Linked DNA regions of Arabidopsis thaliana. The protein of the gene in region 1 interacts with the protein of each later gene in a pairwise test. Each region holds a gene or a part of one and is shown on either strand. Other genes may lie near its edges.

Region 1 (5,037 bases):
GCGCAGCTGAACAAATCAGAAGAAGCCTCTCACCTGCTGAGGGAGATGTTGGTTGCTGGCTTTCAGCCAAATTCCATTACACTAGCAAGCATTCTCCCTCTTTGTGCTCGGATTGCAAACCTGCAACATGGAAAAGAGTTTCATTGCTACATCCTGAGGCGCAAGTGCTTCAAGGACTATACAATGCTGTGGAACTCCCTTGTTGATGTTTATGCAAAATCGGGAAAGATTGTAGCTGCAAAGCAAGTATCTGATTTGATGAGCAAAAGAGACGAAGTAACATACACTTCCTTGATAGATGGATACGGAAATCAAGGTGAAGGGGGAGTAGCCTTGGCCCTGTTCAAGGAGATGACCAGATCTGGTATTAAACCTGACCATGTAACCGTGGTTGCAGTTCTATCAGCCTGCAGTCATTCCAAGTTAGTCCATGAAGGTGAAAGGCTGTTTATGAAGATGCAGTGTGAGTATGGTATACGTCCTTGTCTTCAACATTTTTCTTGTATGGTTGATCTCTATGGCAGAGCAGGTTTCCTAGCAAAAGCCAAAGACATAATTCACAATATGCCATATAAGCCATCCGGTGCCACGTGGGCTACCCTACTGAACGCGTGTCACATCCATGGGAACACACAGATTGGTAAATGGGCAGCAGAAAAGCTCCTGGAGATGAAGCCAGAGAACCCGGGATACTACGTGTTAATTGCAAATATGTATGCAGCTGCTGGTTCTTGGAGCAAGCTTGCTGAAGTGAGGACTATAATGAGGGACTTGGGTGTGAAAAAGGATCCTGGCTGTGCTTGGATCGACACAGATTCTGGATTTTCACTGTTTTCGGTGGGGGACACATCAAGCCCTGAAGCATGTAATACTTATCCTCTATTAGATGGACTGAATCAGCTGATGAAAGACAATGCTGGTTATGCCATCAATAAGGTGCAAAGTTCAGATGAAGAACTTCTTCAAGAAATGGGATGAAGGTGAAGAGCTGAGGATGATCAACTGGAGCTTTATTTAGTTAATAGCACATAGTCTATATACGCCTGCATATCACCAGACTGAGAACAAGTTGGATACACATGACAAGTTCTAGTATATACATTAACTAAAATTGGACAATGGTGGGGATTGCTGCGGAAGTATTTTTCCTATATAACACAAAGAAAACTTATATTGTGAGCTGATTCACTTCATCGAGCAAGAGCTTTGTAATGCCATCAGAATTGGTCGGCCAGTTGAGGAAATTTCTGCAGCAGCCAGGTAACTCCCTTTATAGCAGCCTGAATACACAAAATGCAAAAGCTGTTAAATCTTCATTACCTCTGCAATTTCAAACACATCCACACAATCAAAATTGATAGTAGCTCATGTTACCAGAACTGTTTCTCCAGGTTTGATTGCAGGCTCAACGCAGTCTCTTCCATATCTGCAAACAAAACAGAGAAGAAATGTTTATCCCAGCAAGACAAAAATTGGCATCTCTGTCAGTCTACACGATCTGTCGAGAAAAGTGTGCTTACACGATCTGTCTCTTCCCATCAATCACCTCTAACCGGTAAAAGCTGCAACCTTTGCTAAATGGGAAGTTCTTTCCTTTCCATTCTGTCAAAAATCTCCAATTTACGACTTATCATTAGAGAAACATAGACGACTAAATCATAAAGAGTCTGTTAAAAACTAACCTAAATGCCATGAAACTCCAACAGCTGAAGAGTCTTCTGTTGAGATATCATCTATCACGAATTGGAGATCCGTACTTGTTGATTCAATGAATTTTCCGAAGAAATCAAGAATTGCCTGTCATGGCTTTATCAAAATTAGGCTCTGAGACACAACAAAGTCTGAAAAGAAGAGACTTTGGTTTATTAGAATAATAATCGTTTCACCTTTCGGCCAACAAAGGGAGATGAGAAGACGAGATCCTCGTAGACGCAGTCCTGAGCGATGAGGTCTGTGACAGAGGATAAATCATGGACGTTAACGGCGGCGTAGAAGCTGGAGACGACCTCCGACGCTGATGTCGGAGCTGTTTCTGGAACAACGTCGTTGGCTGTAGCAGCTTTTGCAGCTGGACCATAGGATGCGGACAATCTCGGAGGCTGTGAATGAGTGAGGCTTGTTGGCTTGACAAGTTTGGTTGGGAGGAAGAAGGAAGGAGGAAGATGGTTGAGCGAGACGAGTGAGGGAGACGTCAAATAAGAGACGAGAGAAGCAGTGAAGCTCATCGTCGTTTCTTGATATGATGTCTTCGTTTTTGTGGCTCATTTGTGTTTGTGATTAAGAGAGCAAAGAGTTGAATTTTGAATTTCAATTGGAATTTGTGGACAGAAATTCTTATTAGTAGTCCCTATGATTATCGATGCCATGTGGATACTGTAACAATCAATAGAAGTATACTCCAATCCTCTTTCCTATTAATTGATGATTTTTCTATCATCATTTCATCTTATTTGTTTGTGAAATGATACTTTTAATTTAGTTGTGAAATGAGATTTTATAATTTTTCGAAATATAAGACTAGGTAATGCGTAGCAGAACAGAAAAGTAAAGAAAAATATGTGTTGGTGGATAAAAAGTTGAATTGTTTTTCATAATTTTTAGATCAATGATATATTTTCAGTAAATTCTTGTTCATCGGTTCTCAAATCTACATAAAGAGAGAAGCTAAGCAAACATTTAACCCTATTTTTTAGATTTTGTTTTTTCACTCCTGAACATATAATGAATAAAGAGATGGTTATGAAAGACGTTTATAATAATCTTTAAAAAAAGAGAAAAAAATCGAATCCTTCATAAATCTTTTACATTCATAGATGGAACACAATAATTATAACATAAATAAAAACGAGAAAATCAAACTCAAGCCATGCACGTCACTATCGAAAAGTTCTCACAAAAACAACAACTCCAAAACATCAGCCATGAAGCGATATTTGTTGATGAGATGCTCTATCTCCTTGATAAACAAAACCTCACATTTTTCATTCAATTCTTTGGCCTTATTATCTCCAATAAGCTTACCTTTCTCCAAAATATACTCTTCAGAAATAAATTCTTTGACCATCTCCTTACTTAAAAACATCTTCAAAGATGGATACCGAGCCCAAAACTCATCTTTAATACCATTAGCCTCAGTTTCTGTAACAACTATTGACATAAGATTTTTTTTTAAGAAAGTATTAAAGATACGATACAAAAACTATCTTAATCACTTTTAAGATTTTTATATCAACGTAATAATCTTGAAACCTCACAGTCAAACAGAACATGAACATGCAAAGTATTTCTTAACAAACGCTCCAACTTCTTTACAGTGGAAACATGTGAAATGGTGAAGTGAAAAATCTGAAATAAAATAGAGAGTGATGCATGCATGTACCTCCATTGTTGTTTTCAGAGTCTGATGGTTCGTCTTCCATTGAGTCGTCGTCTTCCGATGAGTTGGAAACTTGGGAGTCGCTGAGTTCTTCTTCGGATGATTCAGGTTTAGGTGGAGAGTTGATCGTAACCGGCACCATCGTCGTTAAGATTAAGTTCGAAGAGACTAGATAAAGTTTCTAAAGAGAGAGATAGAATCGGACAAACAAAGAGTCGATATGTGAACAAGTAGAAACATGATGTTTATTTATACAGTATCGTCGGGAAAACGAAGAGTCAATTACTTTATTTAACTGAATATTTTTAGTGACAAAAATATGAAACGTTTTTTTTGTAACTTGTCCAAGTTGACATGAATTGTTTTTAAACGAGGAAGATTGAAGCAACCACCAAAATAAAAGCCAATAAATTCTAAATACATGCTTTTTTTAAAAACGAAACCGTGTGTGAACTGATGGGCTACAATTGTTTTGGGGGCCCTAAGCCCATATTTCAATTTTCTGGCCCAAATATTAGCTTTCAATTTCAATTGCATACTTTATAAAAATAGTTTAAAGCTACATATAAATACTAACGACCTTTAGCTTAATCAAGTGGTTAGTGGTCACAATGGAAGTAGTGTCGTCTCTCGGAATCCGAGACCTCCCGGCGTCCCTCTCCGTGACGACGAGTCTCAACCACCGTCCTCATCGTTCCGATAAAGATGGCGCTCCGGCGAAATCTCCGATTAGACCAAGCAGAACTAGACGACCTTCCACTTCTCCCGCCAAAAAGCCGAAACCTTTTAGGGAAAGAGATGCTTTCCCTTCTTCTCTTCCTCTCCACTCCAAGAACCCCTACATTATCCACAGAGATATTCAAATTTTTGCGAGGCAGAACAATCTCGAAGTCGCTCTCACGATTCTTGATTATCTCGAACAGAGAGGGATTCCTGTAAATGCGACAACTTTCTCTGCTCTTTTAGAGGCGTGTGTTCGCCGGAAGTCGTTGCTTCACGGTAAACAAGTCCATGTTCATATACGTATTAATGGGTTGGAGAGTAATGAGTTTCTAAGGACCAAGCTTGTTCATATGTATACTGCTTGTGGTTCGGTTAAAGATGCACAGAAGGTGTTCGATGAAAGTACTAGCTCAAATGTTTACTCTTGGAATGCGTTGCTTAGAGGGACTGTTATATCAGGGAAGAAGCGGTATCAAGATGTTCTTTCTACGTTTACAGAAATGAGAGAGCTTGGTGTTGATTTGAATGTTTATAGTTTATCTAATGTGTTTAAGAGTTTTGCTGGTGCATCTGCTTTGAGACAGGGATTGAAGACGCATGCACTTGCGATTAAGAATGGTTTGTTTAATAGTGTCTTTCTTAAGACTTCTCTTGTTGATATGTATTTTAAGTGTGGTAAAGTAGGGCTTGCACGTCGAGTTTTTGATGAGATTGTAGAGAGAGATATAGTTGTTTGGGGGGCGATGATTGCTGGATTGGCTCACAATAAAAGGCAGTGGGAAGCGTTGGGACTGTTTAGGACGATGATTAGTGAAGAAAAGATATATCCAAACTCAGTTATACTTACAACGATTCTTCCCGTACTTGGGGATGTTAAGGCACTGAAACTGGGGAAGGAGGTCCATGCCCATGTATTGAAATCGAAGAATTACGTGGAA
Region 2 (4,542 bases), on another chromosome or scaffold:
GGAAGATGGGTCACCGCATCCTCAGCCTCAAACTCCACCAGGCATATGGGGCAGCAAATTTCCTCCTCCTTTTCCTTGTCCCCAAACATCACTCCCACTAGGTTGTAACCGTCATCATCATGCGCATCCGCATCTCCACCATTCTTCTTCAACCTCCCCAAGGGAATGCACACACATGTGTAGAATACTATGGCTGCTGTGCACAAAGGCGACCGCGGAAACAACATTGAAATCATCTTTCTCCAGCTTTCTGCTTCTTTACCTCATTCCTTCCCTCTCTTTTATAGACTAATATCATCGAGTAGGGACGGCGCCGACCCCACCTCCCATCTCTTATTATATTCTTTTGTTGTTTTTCTTTAATCAAGTCAGCGATTCTCCCAACTCCAAGAAAACTCTTGGAGAGGTTATGGTCAACATACGAGATGCACATGCTTCCATCTTAAGCACTACCTGATACTTGCATTTAACAATAGTAAACAATACAAGAATCACATGACGCCAAAAGTAAACAAACAAAAGATGGCATTCATATCCAGTGTATTATTTATATATATATTAAAAGTAAGGAGTCATTCTTCCATCAAGACAGGCCTTGACTTCCGAGTTCACGAATATAATACAGCCGACCAAATCAAGTAAAGATCTCCGAGTGAATCATAAAAACTATTTTAATGTTGACTCCACGCATTTTGTATTCAATATAGCGCCAGCTTCTACAGAACAGACCTCCACGTCCCTGAGATCAGCAGTGCCTTTGGAGGATGATGTAGTTTTATGCCTGGTGTATGTAACCAATGATACTATTGTTCATATTTGTTCATGAAGTCGGCCACATTTGCAATAGACAGTCACATACATCATTGGTAATGACTGATAAGCGTCAAGCATAATTTGACACCCTATACCGCCAACACAACGCTATTCATTGAACTTGCAATCAATATTAGAATGCATGAAAACAGGGAACTACATCTACAACTACACATTTTTAAAGGACATAGGAAAAAAAAAAAAACTCGATACCTGACTCCAAGCAGAAAAAGGAAGACTCATATTGATTTTCACTTTCAAGGTTGTTATTACAAGTCAAGAAAACATCTTACTGAGACGGCATACTTAACAGCACTGCGTAAGTAAATCAGAAGGGTTTCTCGGTTGGTTTCTTCTTGAAGATGGCTTCCCAAGCCAAAGACGGAAATGGAGCCCTTTTATCCATGAACTCCTTGACAGCCTTAACATTAACGGCAAATCCTTTTTGGTTTAAGGTATCAATAGCGGACTGGGCTTGTTCAACCCCCTTTACTCTGCACAAGGCATCAACCAATTCAACGAAAGTGGGGACGTTAGGAGAGTGACCAGACTCAAGCATCTCACTACAGAAAGCAACAGCATCGTCAAGCATGTTGCAATTATACAATCCCTGAACCAACACACCGTAGCTGAAGGCATTAGGGGCAATCCCATTGTTCTGCATTTTCCTGAAAATCCTCTTAGCGTCTTCAATTTTATGAGCCTTGCAAAAGGCCTCAACGACAGCAGTGTAGATAACGACCTCAGGGATTGTACCCTTGTCACGCATCAATCCGAAAAGCTTCATGGCCTCTTGTACAAGCCCATCTTTGCAGAGGCCGTCAAGCATGGCGACGGCGTTAGGGATGAGACCTCCTTCCTTCATCTTCTTGAAGATCTCATCGGAATCCTCAGGCGGCGGTAAGGGCTCCTGCGGGTATTGTTCCGGTTTGGGGGTTTCCCGTGAATCCTGATTGACTCCAAGCTTGAACTGTTCGAGGAAGCCATCGTCAGACAGAGTAGTATCACTCTTTCCAAGGTTGTGGGCTTGTCTAGCGGGTGGTTCTCTGTGAGAGTTGGAAGATCTCTCCCCTCGCAAGGGTCTGTTGGGTAAGGGCTCTGGAGGGTTCTGCTGCTCGTCTACTTGACCATTGTCGCCCGTTGAGAGAAAGCGTGTTGCGGACATCGACGGCGTCGTAACACGAATCTGCTTCGCCATCTGCCTTGCAAAAACGACGGCTTTGGAGGAAGGCACCATCGTTATCTGCCGCTGATTCGAAAAGTTAGGGTTTTGCAGATTTTGACGGAGAGAGAAGAAGGGGAGGGTTTAGTCACGCGAGAAGGATTGAGGGATATAACAGTCATTTACTCTACAGGGGGTATAAGAAAGAAAGAAGGTCCTCACTCCTCCGTGTGGATAAGCTTCTCACTTTCAGTTCAATTGGATAGCCGGAAAGGCTCTCCTCCAAGGTAAATTCCTCTCTACTTCCTTGTTAAAGCTCGAATCATCTCTAAGTTAAGCAAAATTGGTGTGTTGTAGTGGCGTTTATATGGAGGTGACAAATACGAGCAGCATCATGTGGTTCTTCAGGGACAAAGGTTTCGATGATCCGAGTATCGACAAGATGTTGAGAAAATGCAAACAGTTGGAAAAGGCTCAAAGCGATGTGGCATCAGAAAACTGGGACTACCTGAGTAACATTGTTGGTATCCAAGAGAGAAAACTCCCTTACATCGTCTCTCGATGCCCCAAAATCCTGACTTTACGCCTCGATGAGAGACTCATCCCGATGGTCGAGTGCCTCTCCAGTCTTGGAAGGAATCCTCGGGAAGTTGCTTCCGCCATTACCAAATTTCCTCCAATACTCTCTCATAGCGTGGAGGAGAAACTCTGTCCCCTTCTTGCTTTCTTTCAAGCGTTAGGTGTGCCTGAGACTCAACTTGGCAAAATGATACTTTTTAACCCAAGGCTTATCAGCTACAGCATCGACACCAAGCTGACAGTGATCGTCAGCTTTCTTGCTAGCCTTGGCCTTGATCAAGATGGGATGATTGGCAAAGTTCTGGTGAAGAACCCATTTCTTATGGGGTACAGTGTTGATAAAAGGTTACGGCCTACCACTGAATTCTTGAAATCATCCGTTGGCCTGAGTGAGGATGGCATTAAGTCGGTGGTCATGAATTTCCCACAACTTTTGTGCAGAGACGTTAACAAGATTCTCAAACCAAATTATGATTATTTGAAGGAGTGTGGGTTTGGAGATTCCCAGATAGCAACCATGGTCACTGGTTATCCCCAAATCTTGATTAAGAGTGTTAAGAATTCACTACAGCCTAGGATCAGATTCCTCGTCCAGGTGATGGGAAGAGGCATGGATGAAGTGGCTTCTTATCCTGAATTCTTTCACCATGGATTGAAGAAGAAGGTCGAATCGAGGTTTAAACTTGTCAAAAAGAACAACATTGACTGCAGCCTTAGAGAAATGCTGGACTGTAACACAAAGAAATTCCATGAGAAGTTTGGCTTTTCGGAGGTAACTGCAAGCTTCTAGCTTTTATATCTCTCTCTAGTTTTTTCCTTCATCAGGCTCTCTCTGTAAGCTGTTTTCAGCTTGTGCACCAATTTCTAGCACGAGCTTTTCCTTGAGTGATTGTGATATCAATAGAGTGTTTTCTTCCAGATATCATCGATTATTCACTATGCATTCGTTTATCATGGATTCTACACTTCCTTTTGAAAATTACCTAATTATGATAGAACCACCACCATGGCCCGATCAAGTGCATATCCATAGAGTGGTTCCTGTGTTTTCAGGTATTCAACTGCAATCAAAATGGGATGTATATGTTGTTGGATAAGTCAGTGTCATTATTGGCTTGTGATTATTGCAGCAACCGACAAGCAAAAGAAGTGTCTGCTTAGCCTAACTGCAGAACAGAATATGCAGCAATGCAGTCTAGCTGCTTGTCGGAAGTATGGGTGGGTAAAAAGCCCCTAGTCATTCCACAAATATGGAGGCCCCTAGTCAAAGGTCACATTTGATGACAAAGAGATGGTTGATCGTTCTCTGCCTATATAGTATGTACCTGTCATATAAAAATGAAACCCCCTCTGCTCTCTCTTTTGGATGAGATCAACCGTATTTTAAACCGGCCAAACTTGAAAGTTTTTTTTTGCTTCAAATGCTCTTTCAAGTAGAGTCCCTTTTGTTATTCACGTTTTGTAGCTATTCTATTCTCTCTCCTTGGACTGGTGTTTTTGTTCTTCGGTTTTTCCGATCAAAGTTGAATCAAGAAGAAGTTCGCTGTTTCTTGTGGTTGCTTGTTGGGCTTCTGTGCCTTTTTGATTTTTTCTATTTTGGGCCTGTGTGCCATGTTTTCGGCATTTCTGCTTTGTTGGGCCTACGTGCCTTTTCGAGCCTTGTAGTTTTCTTTGTTTAAAGCACTCAATAATTGTTTGTTGACGGACCAAAAAACTCAAATAGGCCCGACTTAATTTATTATTTTAAGGGCCCAAAATTAAGGACTAGGCCTGCCTACCAGTCCCAACTCGCAACATTGGTTATGGTAAACTAACAGCTTGCCGTTTTATGTTATAAAAACGGCAGGAGAGTGTAGGCTTAGATAGACAAACCCGTCACCGAGTTCGGTTGGATCCAACAGCAAACCTTAAAGCGTACTCCGTCCGGTCGCGGAAGCCATTGATTCAGTTACAGTTACAAGTTTAGGGTTTTAAAGCCATATCTTGCG

The links. The genes of interacting proteins can lie anywhere in the genome.
Region 2: the proteins of AT1G71480 (region 1) and AT4G38150 interact in a two-hybrid assay, tested with the Arabidopsis thaliana proteins (one large-scale study listed by BioGRID).

Annotation. Positions count from the first base shown.
Region 1 is NC_003070.9:26,929,267-26,934,303, reverse strand, and holds AT1G71480 (Nuclear transport factor 2 (NTF2) family protein), read right to left. Parts: upstream 2,453-5,037; 5' UTR 2,226-2,452; coding exon 1,887-2,225; exon of another isoform or gene 1,837-1,886; intron 1,798-1,836; coding exon 1,683-1,797; coding exon of another isoform or gene 1,678-1,682; intron 1,603-1,677; coding exon 1,521-1,602; coding exon of another isoform or gene 1,517-1,520; intron 1,427-1,516; coding exon 1,375-1,426; exon of another isoform or gene 1,281-1,374; coding exon 1,218-1,280; 3' UTR 991-1,217; downstream 1-990. Other genes in the region: AT1G71490 (Tetratricopeptide repeat (TPR)-like superfamily protein), read left to right, coding at 1-978; AT1G71470 (uncharacterized protein), read right to left, coding at 2,891-3,147, 3,380-3,518; AT1G71460 (Pentatricopeptide repeat (PPR-like) superfamily protein), read left to right, coding at 3,988-5,037.
Region 2 is NC_003075.7:17,900,070-17,904,611, forward strand, and holds AT4G38150 (Pentatricopeptide repeat (PPR) superfamily protein), read right to left. Parts: upstream 2,214-4,542; 5' UTR 2,051-2,213; coding exon 1,142-2,050; 3' UTR 1,027-1,141; exon of another isoform or gene 903-1,026; 3' UTR 501-902; downstream 1-500. Other genes in the region: AT4G38140 (RING/U-box superfamily protein), read right to left, coding at 1-236; pde191 (Mitochondrial transcription termination factor family protein), read left to right, coding at 2,343-3,326, 3,608-3,651, 3,727-3,835.